2 linked regions of the Mytilus edulis genome follow. The protein of the gene in region 1 purifies or fractionates together with the protein of each later gene. This does not show direct contact. Links are inferred from orthologs where the notes say so. Each region holds a gene or a part of one and is shown on either strand. Other genes may lie near its edges.

Region 1 (7,531 bases):
TGGTACCTTAAAAAACAAATGAATCCACAGTACTCCTTATTTTCTTCTATTGACTTTTCAACCAACCATTATTGGAAATTGTAAAAGGTACAAAGCTTAGTTACCCTACTACATAGATTTGATCCTGTTTACTGTTGATGATTTTGAGCACATATCCTACATGTTACAAAGATATCTTTTGTTTATTTGTGTTGTCTGGTGGCCGTCTTATTAGCATATCCCACATCTCTGTTTATCTCAAATTCATATGTACATGTACAGGCAAAAAACATAACATCCAGCATTACTAGACTGAAAAAGTTCTCATCACATCATTTTATCAAAATACTGCTTTTCTTTGATTTTTTTGTAGGGGGAGTACCATAAGTATGTTTCTATGTTGTGATGTTATACTATTGTTTCAGAAAAGGGAGAAGGTTGGTACCCTTAAAACGTTTAATCCCGCTGCAAATGTTTGTACCTGTCCTAAGTCATGAATCTGATGTACAGTAGTTGTCGTCATACATGTTCTCGTTTTTATATAGATTAGATTTTGGTTTACCTGTTTCAATGATTTTACACTAGAGAATAAGTAATTTTTGGGGCCCTTTATAGCTTGCTGTTCAGTGTGAGCCAGGGCTCTGCGTTGAAGGCCGTACCTTGACATATAATAATAATGGTTTACTTTTATAAATTGTTACTTGGATAGAGAGTTGTCTCATTGGCACTCACACCACATCTTCCTATATCTATGGTATAGGGCATAATAAATCATTTCGTTATAAATACCTATCTGTCATTATGTTTCCTTGGTATACCACATCTTCCTATATCTATGGTATAAGGCATAATAAATCATTTTGTTATAAATACCTATCTGTCATTATGTTTCCTTGGTATACCACATCTTCCTATATCTATGGTATAGGGCATAATAAATCATTTCGTTATAAATACCTATCTGTCATTATGTTTCCTTGGCATACCACATCTTCCTATATCTATGGTATAGGGTATAATAAATCATTTTGTTATAAATACCTATCTGTCATTATGTTTCCTTGGCATACCACATCTTCCTATATCTATGGTATAGGGCATAATAAATCATTTTGTTATAAATACCTATCTGTCATTATGTTTCCTTGGCATACCACATCTTCCTATATCTATGGTATAGGGTATAATAAATCATTTTGTTATAAATACCTATCTGTCATTATGTTTCCTTGGCATACCACATCTTCCTATATCTATGGTATAGGGCATAATAAATCATTTTGTTATAAATACCTATCTGTCATTATGTTTCCTTGGCATACCACATCTTCCTATATCTATGGTATAGGGCATAATAAATCATTTTGTTATAAATACCTATCTGTCATTATGTTTCCTTGGCATACCACATCTTCCTATATCTATGGTATAGGGTATAATAAATCATTTTGTTATAAATACCTATCTGTCATTATGTTATGGTATAGGGCATAATAAATCATTATGTTATAAATACCTATCTGTCATTATGTTATAAATACCTATCTGTCATTTTGTTATAAATACCTATCTGTCATTATGTTCCCTTGGCATGCTGTGGCTATAATATTACCAATTGTAAATGAAGCAATGGCTTGCAGACTGGACACAATTCTGTAATGAAAAAACTATCAGTTTTTGTAAATTCAGAAATTATTGCGTGCATTTATTAATTGCGATTTTGTCATTTTAGACTGATTTTATGCAATTTTAATTATTGCGATATTGAGAAAATTCCTGTTTAATTCACAATGATTCATATACAAAAATTCAAAATGTGACTTATTTCGATGATAAAAACCTGTTGCATTTTTTGCAATAATAAAAACATTGCAATAATTTCTGAAAGTTCGAGAATTGAGCAGTTTTTCTATTTGTAAAGGGGCGTAACTCAAGAATGGTGAAAGTGATATATTACCAAGTTTAAATTTTATCTGTATTTTGTGGTAATAAGCATTGTGTAGAATTTCATAACATTAATTGAGGCAAACTAAAGTTGAAGAAAAGAAATGAAAAATTCTGCAATTTTCCATTTGAAACATTGAAAAGGGCATTACTTTAGAACAATAAAAGTGACAACCCCAAATTCAAACTTGATCTGTATTTTGTGATAATAAGCATTGTGTGTACGTTTCATAACATTTAATTAGGGAAACTAAATTTTTGAGAACGGAAACGACTATTTCAGTGATTTTTCATTTGTATAGTGGCATAACTCTAGAATGGTTTAAGTAACGCCACCAAAATTCAACCTTGATATGTGTTTTGTGGAAATATGCATTGTGTATAAGTTTCATAACATTTGGTAGAGACAAACTAAAGTGAAAGAATGGAAACGCAAATTTCAACAATTTTTCCAATTGTAAAGGGGCATAACTCTAGAATGGTGAAAGTGACATCACCAAAAGTCAAATTTGATCTGTATTTTGTGGTCATAAGCATTGTGTATAAGTTTCATAGCATTTTGGTTGAGGCAAACTAAAGTTAAGGTTTATGACCCCCTTCTGTAGTTATATTTGTACAAATTTTTCAAACTTCAATTGTATCAAAACTACAGATGTAATGAATAATAGAGGTAGGCCATTTTGTACATATACCAAGGGGAAACTTGATGCAAAGCATTATTATTTATTGTTTCATTGCATTTAATAGAAAAAGAATACTTTGTGGATACTTTGTGGCAAATAAACCAAGATTTTTATAGAAAACCCACAGCCTTTAATACAGAGATTTTTGTTATAAAATTTGAAACATAGATTACTCACTTGCTTTTCTATGATGTGCTAGTGTTTATTTATTTCAAAAAATTCTAAGCAACCTGTTAATTCCAAAATACCTCGTGTGGAGTCACTAGAGTCGAGCGCACCCTAAAAGGTGTACTTGATTTGGTCCATATTTTAATTTGTTTTAACCAATAACTACATTAATAAACTCGTTTTAAGGAAATCAATGCTAGCACTGCATGCAATAATCTTATATCATCGATCATGAAATTGCTAGCAGCGGGACCGTAGCTCTTAGGTCCTTATGTTATTTTTTGACTATTTGCGGACCATCCACAAATAGTAAAAAATAACATAAGGACCTAAGAGCTACGGTTCCGCAGCTATGAAATTGCCAAATATGAGATTACAAGGATAAATGCTGTGGATTTTCTATAAAATTTCCATATGTTTAGCATTGAATCAACACAAGGGTCAGTCAGGGGTACTACTTGTACAAGTGTATTTTATTTACTTGAAGAAGTAAAAAAATATATACATATATAAGTAAATAAATAATGTTTAAATAATCTCCCCTTCATTTTCTCAAAAATTTACTTGTATAAGTAAATTTTTCTTACAATCCAACAAAAATCCTCAAGTTTTGAGATGTAAAATCATGCCTTTAATGATTTTTCCCAGGTTTGCTCAAATTTTTTAATTAAAGTTCAATGTTTCATCTCATTAGTTCAACAAAGAAACTGATTGCGCAAAGATCTTAAGTATTTGCGCAAGGCCTTCAAAAATTGCTCCTTGGGGGCTTGTAAATGAGCAGTGTTCTGAAGATAACAGACAAATGGGATTTTCATTGTCCATGAAATTGCACTGAAATGATTAGTAAAGACTTCTGCAAAGAGCAGATAATTTAAAATTCTATTAGAGCAAAGAAATCCAAAGATTTCAATAAAAGAAGATAGGATGACTTTTTTACTTCTACAAGTAAAAAAATCTGAATGTCTAAGGGACATAACTCAGCCAATTTTTTTTTTACCTATACAAGTAAATAAAATTCACTTGTATAAGTAGCGTACAAATTTACTTATATGTGTATATTTATTTTTACTTCTTCAAGTAAATAAAATACACTTGTACAAGTAGTACCCCTGACTGAGGGTACATAATCATTAAAGTACGGAGAAATCAAATCGCAAAATTTGTATAAATTATAAAAAAAAAAAATGACACTTATTTCTATAATGTGTACTCTTTGTCAAATATTTGCTGATGCCGAATTGACTTTAATTCAAATAGATGCCGATTTGAACAGATGCCGATTTATCCTGGTACCAAATTCGGATTTGATTTCGCCCCCAGTATTTCTATGCCTGTTCATACTACAGCTTGTTTCAAAGATTCTTACTTTAAACTCAGGTCACACAGGATGTCGATAGAAATTTTATGACTGAAACCTGACAATAATATACGTCTTATTAAAAGATATGTGCATGAGAACGTTGCACCCCCGGCCAGAGTTAGGCCGGCAACCTCCATCTTTAAACACTTATAAATCTGACCAATCAGCAACCCCCTTTCAATTATTGACGGAAGTAATAAAAAACGAACCAATAAATAATCATGTAACTTGGTCTGATAAACGTAAACAAAGCAAATTCACTGACAAAATATTTACTACACATGTCTACAATCATGTAGCATGAAACCAGAAAATACATGTTATTTGATACGCTCTAATAAGTATGAAAATTCTACTCGGCCATTTCACAAAAAATATGAACATACGAAAAATATTTATAACAGCTATATTTTTTTTTCAGTATGATCCACAGGGGTGTGTTACTATACACCTTATCGCTATTCCCGCTTGACCCGAGAATCTGTCCCGCTTGAACCTTTGACGTCATACAACAATCTCTTTTCCATTGTGGCGTCAGATATTTTCTTTTATGACGTCAAAATTTTACGGGAACTTGTGTGATGTCCAGTAATGGCGGACAAATAGCGATAAGGTGTATAGTCTATACACCTTATTGCTAATCCCGGCTGACCCGGCCGCTTGAACTTTTGACGTCAACAAGAATCACTTTTCCTTTGTGGCGTCACATATTTTTCGGGAACCTGTGTGATATCCAGTAATGGCGGACAAATAGCGATAAGGTGTATTTTCCGGGTTTACTATCCATACAAACACCAAAAAAATCACACTTATAACAAACCCCTGTGTAAATAGACATCTATTTTAGTATTTAGTTTATTCACAGTCGCTTGAATTTAAGTGATATATGTATGAAATTTTTTTTAAAAAAATACTGTTATATGAATTTTAGTGATATATGTATGAAAAAAAATTAAAAAAAATACTGTTATATGTATATAAGGCCAATTAAAATTAATTGATAGATTTTCATCCCCGCCCGCCACTCTGAAATCGCCCTGCCCCGAATTTTTTTATTTTATAAAATTTACGATTTCCCGATTTTGTTCATTCCCGTTACCGGTAACCGTTAAAATTTCGTTTCATTCAATGCTTCCTGTTTCAAATTTCGGTTTTGTACCTCGAGTAAATCTAACCAAAATGATTAAGTCTACCTTTCCGCTGCTCTATAATGACAACATCATCTTCCGAGAGTAAAGATTGATAACGAGAATGACATGAAATATTGGTGTTACGAGAAAAACGCTGTTTCCAAGACTGCAAATCGCGGTATGTCACAAATTTCTGTGATTAGAAAACTGCGGACTTTTTTATTTATGCAATGACTTTGTCTCAGGAAATTTAAACTGTAAATGATACTCAAAGCACAAGATTCGTGGAAACCATTGATACCTAAACATGACTGAATTATAGATATTGAAACACAAGCACGAATTTGTCAGATTTATGACCGTTTATTGAATTTAAAAAGTCGACTAACATACGCATTTTATTTATGCAAGCCCTTTGATTTTACCCATGGCTGTCTTTTTATGTTGACAAACAGCAAATTTCCCAATACAGCCAAAAAGACTCATTAAACAACAACTTTTTTTTAATTATTAGGTTCATGTTCTACATGATAATTATATTTTCATCTTGCATATAAAGTACCAACCCTATTATTTTCAACACTCTCTGAGCTTTCATTTTATTCTGTACTCATAATAATTGTGTTGCATACCAATGCATTTGCTTCATTTTATAGTAATACAAACTATTGTTTAGAAACCCAATACATTTTGTGTAGGTAGTCTAACTGAAGAGAGTATTTCTCACACGTTTTTGTTGTTTAAAAGTTTTTAAAGCCGCAGTTAGATATATTTATTTAAGGATTTGAAATATTATGTAAGATTCCTCATACTTGTGTATACATGATATAAGCTTATTATTACACTTGCATATACGAAGAACTAGTCACAAAAGGGTTTCATATGAAATAAAATTTAAAAAATAAAATCCTCCCACCCGCCCCATTATTTTCAAAAATTTGGATGAAAATCTACTAATAAATTTTAGTTGGCCTAACAGTATTTTTAAAAAAAAATTTCATACATATATCACTAAAATTCAAGCGACTGTGGTCTATTATAGACCAGGGACAGTCTAGGCTACAGTTTTTAATTTTGTTGGTTTACGCATTTTCTCCATGAAAAAGTCAGGTCGGTCGGTCGGGGAAAAAAAAGAAAAAAACATCTTTCAAGACAGAAAACTGATATGCAAAATAAATATATATTTCACCTTTCTAATAATATGTTTGTTATGCTATTTTGTTATCATTTCTTAAAGTTCAGTTCTATGAAATATTAATGCTCAGCTGTAATAAACATCCCATGACATTGTCTAATAATTTCCCGTAAAAAAGGGGGGTGCACGGACAAAGACGAAATTAAATCGTCATTTCACAAACAAGAAAAAACAGATTCATGTAGTTCTTAATCAGTTCCAGAAAACTTGGTGAATAATGATCTTCAAGCAAGCAAGAAAACTGATAAAGAAAAAAATGTAAACACTTCGTACGAAAATATGTTTCAACACACGTGTCAAAAACGTAATAAACTCGTCCACTGGAAAAAATGAGAATATTGGGTTAATATGTTGTCATGCATTCCCGTTTTTTATCCAAATGGACGTTATTTTTTTATTATCTATGAAACAAGAAAATTTCAAATGATTTGTTAATATTCAGTACTTTAACTTGATGTCTTGAACTTCGACCTGTTCACATTTGGACAAGTCTATTTCTATGAGAAGATACATCTTACGGCTTTTGACAAATAAGGGAAACTAACTTATTGTGTAATTGGTTTTAAACACAGGTTTCGTTCCGCATTTTAGAAACGTAAACTGGAAGTTTCATTTTTGTCAAGCCTTCGACTTTTGTCGAAAAAGCGTGACATAGCGATCCTACATTCTGTTGGTGTCGTCTTCGTAGGCGGCGTCCACAAATATTAACTTTGTGGTTACAGTTTTTAAAATTTTATGAACTTTCTCATTCTACTTTGGATTTGTACCAAACTTAGACAGAAGCTTGTTTATGATCAAAAGCTAGTATCTAGAAGGAAATTTTGTTAAAACTTTGTACCTGTGTATCTGTATTTTACTTATAAATGGACTTAGTTTTTTTCCAGTTAACATTACATACAATCTGCAGTTAAAGTTTTTAAAACATTTATCACTGGCGTCAACGTGATTATCGTAACTGCAGTTACGATCATCCCAATATGGCGGACACAAATATAGGGAAATTTTATAAGGCTGATTCCTCCACTTTAACAGCTTATTTTCATATTTGTATTATTTTAAGAAACATCTTTAT
Region 2 (7,918 bases), on another chromosome or scaffold:
ATCTGTTAATTGTATTAATGAATGACCATGGCATTGGTAAGGGTTATGGCCCCAATATTTAAGTCTCTTAATTTAGAATGAAGTATTTCAAGTTACTGAAAATTGAGAGAAAGACAAAAGGGACATTTTGTTAAGTTTTCCTCACATATATACATAATAAAACTTCAGGATTTCTTCCACAATTAAGCTTAGGAAGTATAGAGCGCATGGTTCTATGAACTAAATAATCAAGTCAAATGGTTCTTCATTTATATTAAACATAATGTTAAAAATCCTTTTAATTGAAGCACGCCTATATGCTGCCATAGAGTTAAATAGGAATCTAAAGGTCAGCATATTTGTTTTAGCACAAAATCAAAAATATTTGTAAAGGAATTCTGATCCTTCCTTTAAAGTTTAGGAAGATATTCACTTGAAGCTTCAGAGGAAAAGACATTTTATTATTGCCTGATTTGCATCAATAGTTTTCATTGACTTTCCTGTTATTATTGTTGTGCTTGTATGTGGTGTTGTGTAAATTTAGCGCAATCAGATGTCTTTTTGTTTTTAGTGTGAAGTTGAATGTATTTGTCCTCTTTTCTACAGGTTTTAGAGCAGTTTACATCCTGGTACTTTTGATAGATGGTTGTCTCATTGATAATCATTCTTTATTATCACGCATAGACAGCTTTTTTTTCAGTACTGTATTTGAAATGCCATATTTCATACTCCTACCCTCCTATGGGGTATAAAAAGGTAAATATAACTAAAAACTTTGAACTTAATGCCCACAACTTGAAAAAACAAATCCAGTTATTGTTAAGAAATGTAAAAGACAATGAAAGAAGAACTGTTAAAATCCTATAAAATTCTATTAAGATTTACCATTGCATCTTTAATCTATCTACTTCTTCTTCTCCACTGTTATTGCATTCAGTACAGACCAAGTGAAAAAATACATCACCTGCCAATAACGATGGCTTTCCCGTCTTTAAACAATCTGATAAAAAATATTGTTTACATAATAACAGAACATGTATATGCTATCAGGGTTGTTCAATATAAGTATGGATGAGACTGTGAGAAGATAGATTAATTGATACATATTTGCTTTATGTATACTGTGGATTCATTTATTTTCGTGGGTACCAATTTTCGTGGATTGAGGAACTTTTGCATTTTCGTGGATATCTGATTTCGTGGTTTTGTCAAAGTCTGTATACAACCCAACAGCAAATTTGTGATTCGTTGAACATTTAAATTTGTGGTTCACTTGTACCAACTAAAACCACAAAAAATGGTATCCCACGAATAATAATGAATCCACAGTATTTGCAAATATTTCATGTATTATCCAAAATAAACAACATGCTATCTATACATGTATTGACAGCAAATACTGAGTTGCCCTCCTCTGGGTTTAGGATTTTCTCACTGCGTTGAAGACATTTTGTGGCATTGGGCTCTTTTCTACTCTTTGTTGAACTGTTGTCTCTTTGACACATTCCCCATTTCCATTCTCAATTTTATAAGTATTTTTGAAACCATAAAGGTATTGCTCATTCACTATAATTCATTTTTTATAAATTCATATTTTTTTTACAGAACTTAGGATTGTTCAGTGAAAAATAACATAATATTTGGTTAATGTTTGAGTGACATACATGTATGTAGTATTACATTATATTTGTGATTGCCAAATTTGCTTTCAATGGTGATACTGCAAATAAAGGATTTATAAATAAAATTGAATACACTCTTTATTACTCAAATTCCTAGTTATTATACAGTACGTACTAGATGACTTAATTGGAAATAACTCTTGGTGGTGAATTCTCAGTCAGGTGATTTTTCTTGATGCTCTAGATCTGCCATTTTGGTGGCAATGTCCCTTTCCGTCTTATTTAATAAAACCCTACTGTACCACATTTTCTAGAATTCTTCATTAACTCCAAATTTAATTAAAACTTTGTATTTTGAATTTTCTCTTCTTTTCAATTCTTTTAACATGTTTAACTGTCATTGACTCTATAAAACTGATAAATCATACCTATATGGAACTGTCGTCTACATTTCATACATGTTAACTTTGGAGTCTCTTCATCAATTTCCTTTACTTTACAATAACAATGTGTTGCCTCAGGTTCCATATTTAATTATCTAATCAATCATACTATGGTTATGTCTGTAACAAAAATTTTATTCAGAAAAATATGAAATAAGGAAGATACATTTAGCTACAACATGTATTAATTCTTTAGTGTTAATGCATTGTTGATCGAAAGAGGAAGAAGCTACTTGAAGTTAAAGAAGTAATGAAACCAGGGGCGCATCCAGAATTTTTGAAAGGAAGTGTGTAATTCCGCTAGTACATTCATTGGGTTGGGAGGCAAACAAAATTTTGGATGATTTTATGCAAAAAACAATTAATTGTGAAAACATTTAATAATCTTTTTTTTTTAGCCGTCAAACATGTCAAAGGGTAGTCCAAATAATTATGACATCTTGAAAGGCTATTATATTTTTTTCTTTGACGCCTTACATCGCAGGAAGGCGTCAAAGCAAAAATTTGAAATAGCCTTCCAAGACTTCATAATTATTTGGACATAGTCAAAGGGCAGATAGCCTTTGCCAGACGTCATAATTATTTGGACATAGTCAAAGGGCAGATAGCCTTGCCAGACGTCATAATTATTTGGACTAGATCACCACCAGAAACATTCTTATATATAAATCGCTATACATGTGTAAATTATAATTAATTTCCACAAAAGTTCTATTGTTATTTTTTAATTAGGTTGAAAAATGTAACTTTTCCTGTATGCCAATTGATTATTACCAAAAGATGGCAAAACCAAAAGAACCAATCAAAAAGAAAAAAATAGCATGACAAAAGACAAAAAAAGGGGGGTGAAACAGAATAAAGAAAATACATACAAGATTATTTATAATGTTTGATCATCAATATACTTGTTGACACTAAAAATAGTTGGTACTAAAGCATTTCCCTGTGTATATGAAAAGCAGATTGCAAACAATTTTGTTTTGCCGCAAAACCAAAACACCGGAAATTCCAATACTAAACGTAAGTACAAGTTCGGTGTAGACGTGAACGATTTTACGCCTGAGTGTGTATTATCACAGTCGCCTGAAGATTTAATAATTATAGCGAAAAAATGGGGGAAATAAAATATTTTTAGTAGTATTATATAGAATAATAATACTACTAAAAATATTTTATTAATACTACTAAAAATATTTTATTTCCCCCATTTTTCGCTATAATTATTAAATCTTCAGGCGACTGTGGTATTATGAGGGGGATAGGATATTTATCGGGACTCCGGGATCGGGTGTTTTTAAGCTCGGGATTTCGGGATTCGGGAATTCGTTTTTTTCATTTATTTAAATTCGGGACCTCGGGATTTCGTGTTCAAGTTTTTAAGCCAGGGATTTCGGGATCAGGACCCCTCAAACTCCGCATACACCTTATCGCTAATCCCGGCTGACCCGGCCGTTTGAACTTTTGACGTCAACAACAATCACTTTTCCATTGTTGCGTCAGATATTTTGTTTTATGACGTCAACATTTTACGGGAACCTGTGTGAGCAATGGCGGACAAATAGCGATAAGGTGTATTAATATGAATCTATTATATATAGTCTATATAATAAACTTCTCATATTCCAATTCCACGGAGCATTCAATTAAATAGATACTACGTCAAATATTTTTTGATAAAAGTAGGCCTTCAATCATTCAAGCACCTTTTTAGCTCATCTGGCCTAAAAGGCCATGTGAGCTTTTCTCATCACTTGGCGTCCGTCGTCGTCGTCGTCGTCGTCGTCGTCGTTAACAATTTTTCAAACATCTTCTCCTCTGAAACTACTGAATGGATTTGGATGAAACTTAGCATGATTGTTCCTTAGATTATCCTGCACAAAGTGTGGGCTTCGATTTTTGATCCGTCAAAAAACATGGCCGCCGTTACTTAAAATAGAACATAGGGGTCAAATGCAGTTTTTGGCTTATATCTCAAAAACGAAAGCATTTAGAGCAAATCTGACATTGGTAAAAATGTTCATTAGGTCAAGATCTATCAGCCCTGAAATTTTCAGATGAATCAAACAAACCATTGTTGGGTTGCTGTCACTTAATTGGTAATTTTAAGGAAATTTTGCAGTTTTTGGTCATTATCTTGAATATTATTATAGATAAAGATAAACTGTAAACAGCAAAAATGATCAGCAAAGTAAGATCTACAAATAAGTTAATATGACCAAAATTGTCAATTGACCCCTTAAGGGGTTATTGTCCTTTAATGACAATTTTTCACAATTTGTTCATCATATTTGCTAACTTTAAAAAATCTTCTCCTCTAAAACTACTGAACCAAATTCAACCAAACTTCAACTGAATGATCAGTAGGGTGTACAAAATAAAGTTTGTGCTTTATTTTTTATTTCGTCAAAAAACATGGCCGTCATGGCTAAAAATAGAACACAGGGTAAAATGCAGTTTTTGGCTTATATCTCAAAAACTCCAGCATTTAGAGCAAATAAGACAAGAAGTTAAAGTTTTATTAGGTCAAGGTCTACCTGTCCTGAAATTTTCAGCCGAATTGGGTAACTGGTTTTTCAGGTATAATGCCCCTGAATTGATGATTTTAAAGAAATTTTGCAGTTTTTGGTTATTATCTTGAATATTATTATAGATACAGATAAACTGTTTATAGCAAAAATGTTAAGCAAAGTAAGATCTACAAATAAGTCAATTTGACCAAAATTGTCAATTGACCCCTTAAGGAGTTATTGCCCTTTAAAGACTTTTTTCACAATTTGTTCATCATGTTGACTTACTTTAAAAAATCTTCTCCTTTGAAACTGCTGTATCAATTTCAGCCAAACTTAGGCTAAATGAGTTTCAGAGTATCTAGTATAAATTTTATATTTCATTTCCTTGTATGTCAGAAACATAGCTCCTATGGCTAAAATAGAACATAGGAGAAAATGATTTTTTTTTGCTTTTGAAGAAAATAGGACGATTCAAAGAACATTTAAATAAATTGAAAAGCCAAAATAATCATTGATGAGAGATTTAACCAAAAAAATAAATTAAGGTGAGCGATTCAGGCTCTTGAGAGCCTCTTGTTTTATATGCAGATTAAAAGGACATTGATATTGCCGGGTCATATTGACGGTAAACACTTACTTTTAGTAACAGACTGAGGGAACACCACTGTATCTGTATCTGTATGAGTGCGTTGTAAAACTATTCAAGTTAACAGCATGATTTAGAGCTACGTTACCTGGCCAAAAGTGTTCGTCACCTGCCACTTTCTTTGCTCTATATTTCAAATAAAAACACATTAAAAAAAAATATACATTTTGAAGACATTTTGGTTGGATTGTTATAAGCAGCCACAGACACTTGTCTCATATCCCCCCCCTATATACCTTAATATAACACAAGGTACTTAACTCGCATTCTTTGAAAATGTTCACCCGGTCGCGAATTTCTGTTATATGGCGATTTCTCGGTTCTCAACCCCACTAAAACTTGTTATGCCGTAAAATCAATATTTTTTCCAACACGATGGTGTATAATACGCATACAGTGATACTTTTGTTGTCGGAATCATCCATAGCAGGCCTGCCCAAGTATGTCAATCGTAATTATTTCGTCTACCTACACACAGGCACTTGCCTCAGAAATGTTTTTCCCATTATGCCATAATATAACATTATATTATATTAAGGTATATAAGGGGACAAACCTAGTCAAAGATAGAAAATTGTCTAAACAATATTTGTTAATTTAGTCATCGTTTTGTGAGGGGGGGCAAGGGGGGTTCCAATAACAGCAAAACAGTAAATTGATTTGGCGTAAAACAGATAACAAGGAATTGAAAAGGGACAATAACAGATAACAGTAAATGAAATTTTAAAATCAGTCCGGTCCAGGACCAATACAGTACAGTCAGTACATCTTATTATATAACTGGTTGTATGGATTGCTAGGCCTTAACAGAGACAAATATATTCACTTATTTTAAGTATATTTTGTCGAGAAATTAAATATTTGAAGCTGTTAAAGACACATCTTTATTTGCAGCAACAGTTTCTGAGCTTCACTTTTCATTATGTGAACCAGTTAAAAAGCGATCGAAAAATTGATAGTCAGGGTTCTCTTTCATGTAAATACAAAGAGGAGGAGTAGCACTTCTAGTGTGAATGCTGAAGAAAAAGATGTCGTGTAATTCCCAAAGGCAACATTTCACTCACATGCTCAAACAAATGATACATTTATACTATTTTTGTATTTTGTAAATAAGTATAAAAGGAGATGTGGTATGATTGCCAATAAGACAACTATCCAAAAGAGACAAAAAGACACAGAAATTAACAACTATAGCTCATCATACCACCTTCGACTATGAGCAACAAACCAATACTGCATAGTCATATATAAAAGGCATTGAAAAGACAAACGAAAAACAATCAAAACGAGAAATTTAACAGCTTGATTTATCTAAAAACTAATAAACGAAAACAACCACTGAATTGCAGGCTCCTGACTTGGGACATGCACATACAGAAAGTGGCGGGGTTAAACATGTTAGTTGGTGTCTATAAACCTTGGACAGTGGTGTAACAGTACAACATAACGTTTATTATTTGGTCATTGAATTACAATTATATACGGTGTATCAAGGCTTTCTTTTTATAAAAAAATCCATATGATAAGTTATTGTAAAAGTTATACATTGTTGAAAGTGATTTTAGTCAAATTTCATATACAAATTGTCATTTTCACAAATATATATATAATTTGTACAAAAAATGTGTACAAAGTCAAAATACAAATTATAATTTTTAGAAAAATGTGTACAAAGTAAAAAAATAAATATAATTTGTACCTATTTTATGTACAAATTATAATTTGTACAAAATTTTACATCTAAAAACATGTTCACAGACAATGGAATTTATTACAAAGAGTAACAATAATGTATACGGGAATGGTCCTGGACCTCACTGTTTTTAAATATGTTTATGTGATGTTTGTTACTGGAATCCTTCTGCGAATACGTGACCTCCATATCACCAATGGAAAGACCCCAATAGTGATAATAAAAAGATGTGGTATGAGTGCCAATGAGACAACTTTCCATCCAAATCACAATGTTCATTTTTTTCAATTTCTACTCAAGATTGGCTGTCAAAATGCTAACATTCCAATTTTCAATAACAATTAACAGCAAAACAATCTCACAATAACAGATAACAATAAAAATAATTGTCCTATAACAGATAACAAGGAATAAGACAATAACAGCTAACAGTTAATATATTTTCAGAATAACAGATAACAAAGAATTAAATTACCCCATAACAGAATAACAGTTAAACCCCTTGCCCCCCCTCTTTTGTCTGAAGTTGTTTTTATTTTCTCTTGATGTGAACACAGACAATAACATTTTACAATTTCATTTGGTTGAAATTAATAGCATATTTCTGTCCAGATTTATGTAATTTGTGAGAAATTGACAATAACGCACAAAAAAAAAATATAACCCAATAAACAAATAAACCTATGACAATTCTGCTTCTATTGGTACCAGTTGCTTAATATCAAACTAGAAATTATCCGAAAATATTTTTTTGAAAAATGCAGTTTTATACGAAATATGTAGTGAAAATCGCAAGTGACGAATACTTATGGCCCGGGACTGTGCATATTACCTAACTCTGTTGTATATGAAGGTTTTTCTCTTGTTTAATGGAATTTGCTCGTCTATTGTTAGTGAAAAGTCTGAAACTCATCGTGTGCAGAATTTATGTCATGAATCTTTGTAGAGTTCAAAGTTTGCTTAAAGTCCTGTATGAATAGCTCTCGGTTTAACTGCTAGTAACTTCCAGTTATGTTTTAAAACGC

Evidence for each region.
Region 2: the proteins of SAGA-associated factor 29-like (region 1) and cysteine-rich protein 2-binding protein-like purify together in Drosophila melanogaster (affinity purification with mass spectrometry; 5 studies listed by BioGRID). This does not show direct contact. The link is inferred for Mytilus edulis from reciprocal best matches to the Drosophila melanogaster genes Sgf29 and Atac2.

What each region holds. Positions count from the first base shown.
Region 1 is NC_092349.1:72,417,216-72,424,746, reverse strand, and holds the start of SAGA-associated factor 29-like, read left to right. Parts: upstream 1-4,332; 5' UTR 4,333-4,475; intron 4,476-7,531. Other genes in the region: TLC domain-containing protein 3A-like, read right to left, coding at 1,546-1,632, 4,141-4,271. UniProt on the Drosophila melanogaster protein: Component of both the SAGA and CHAT histone acetyltransferase complexes, which both predominantly acetylate histone H3.
Region 2 is NC_092344.1:116,011,932-116,019,849, forward strand, and holds the start of cysteine-rich protein 2-binding protein-like, read right to left. Parts: upstream 3,090-7,918; 5' UTR 2,917-3,089; intron 2,165-2,916; 5' UTR 2,130-2,164; coding exon 2,030-2,129; intron 980-2,029; coding exon 865-979; intron 1-864.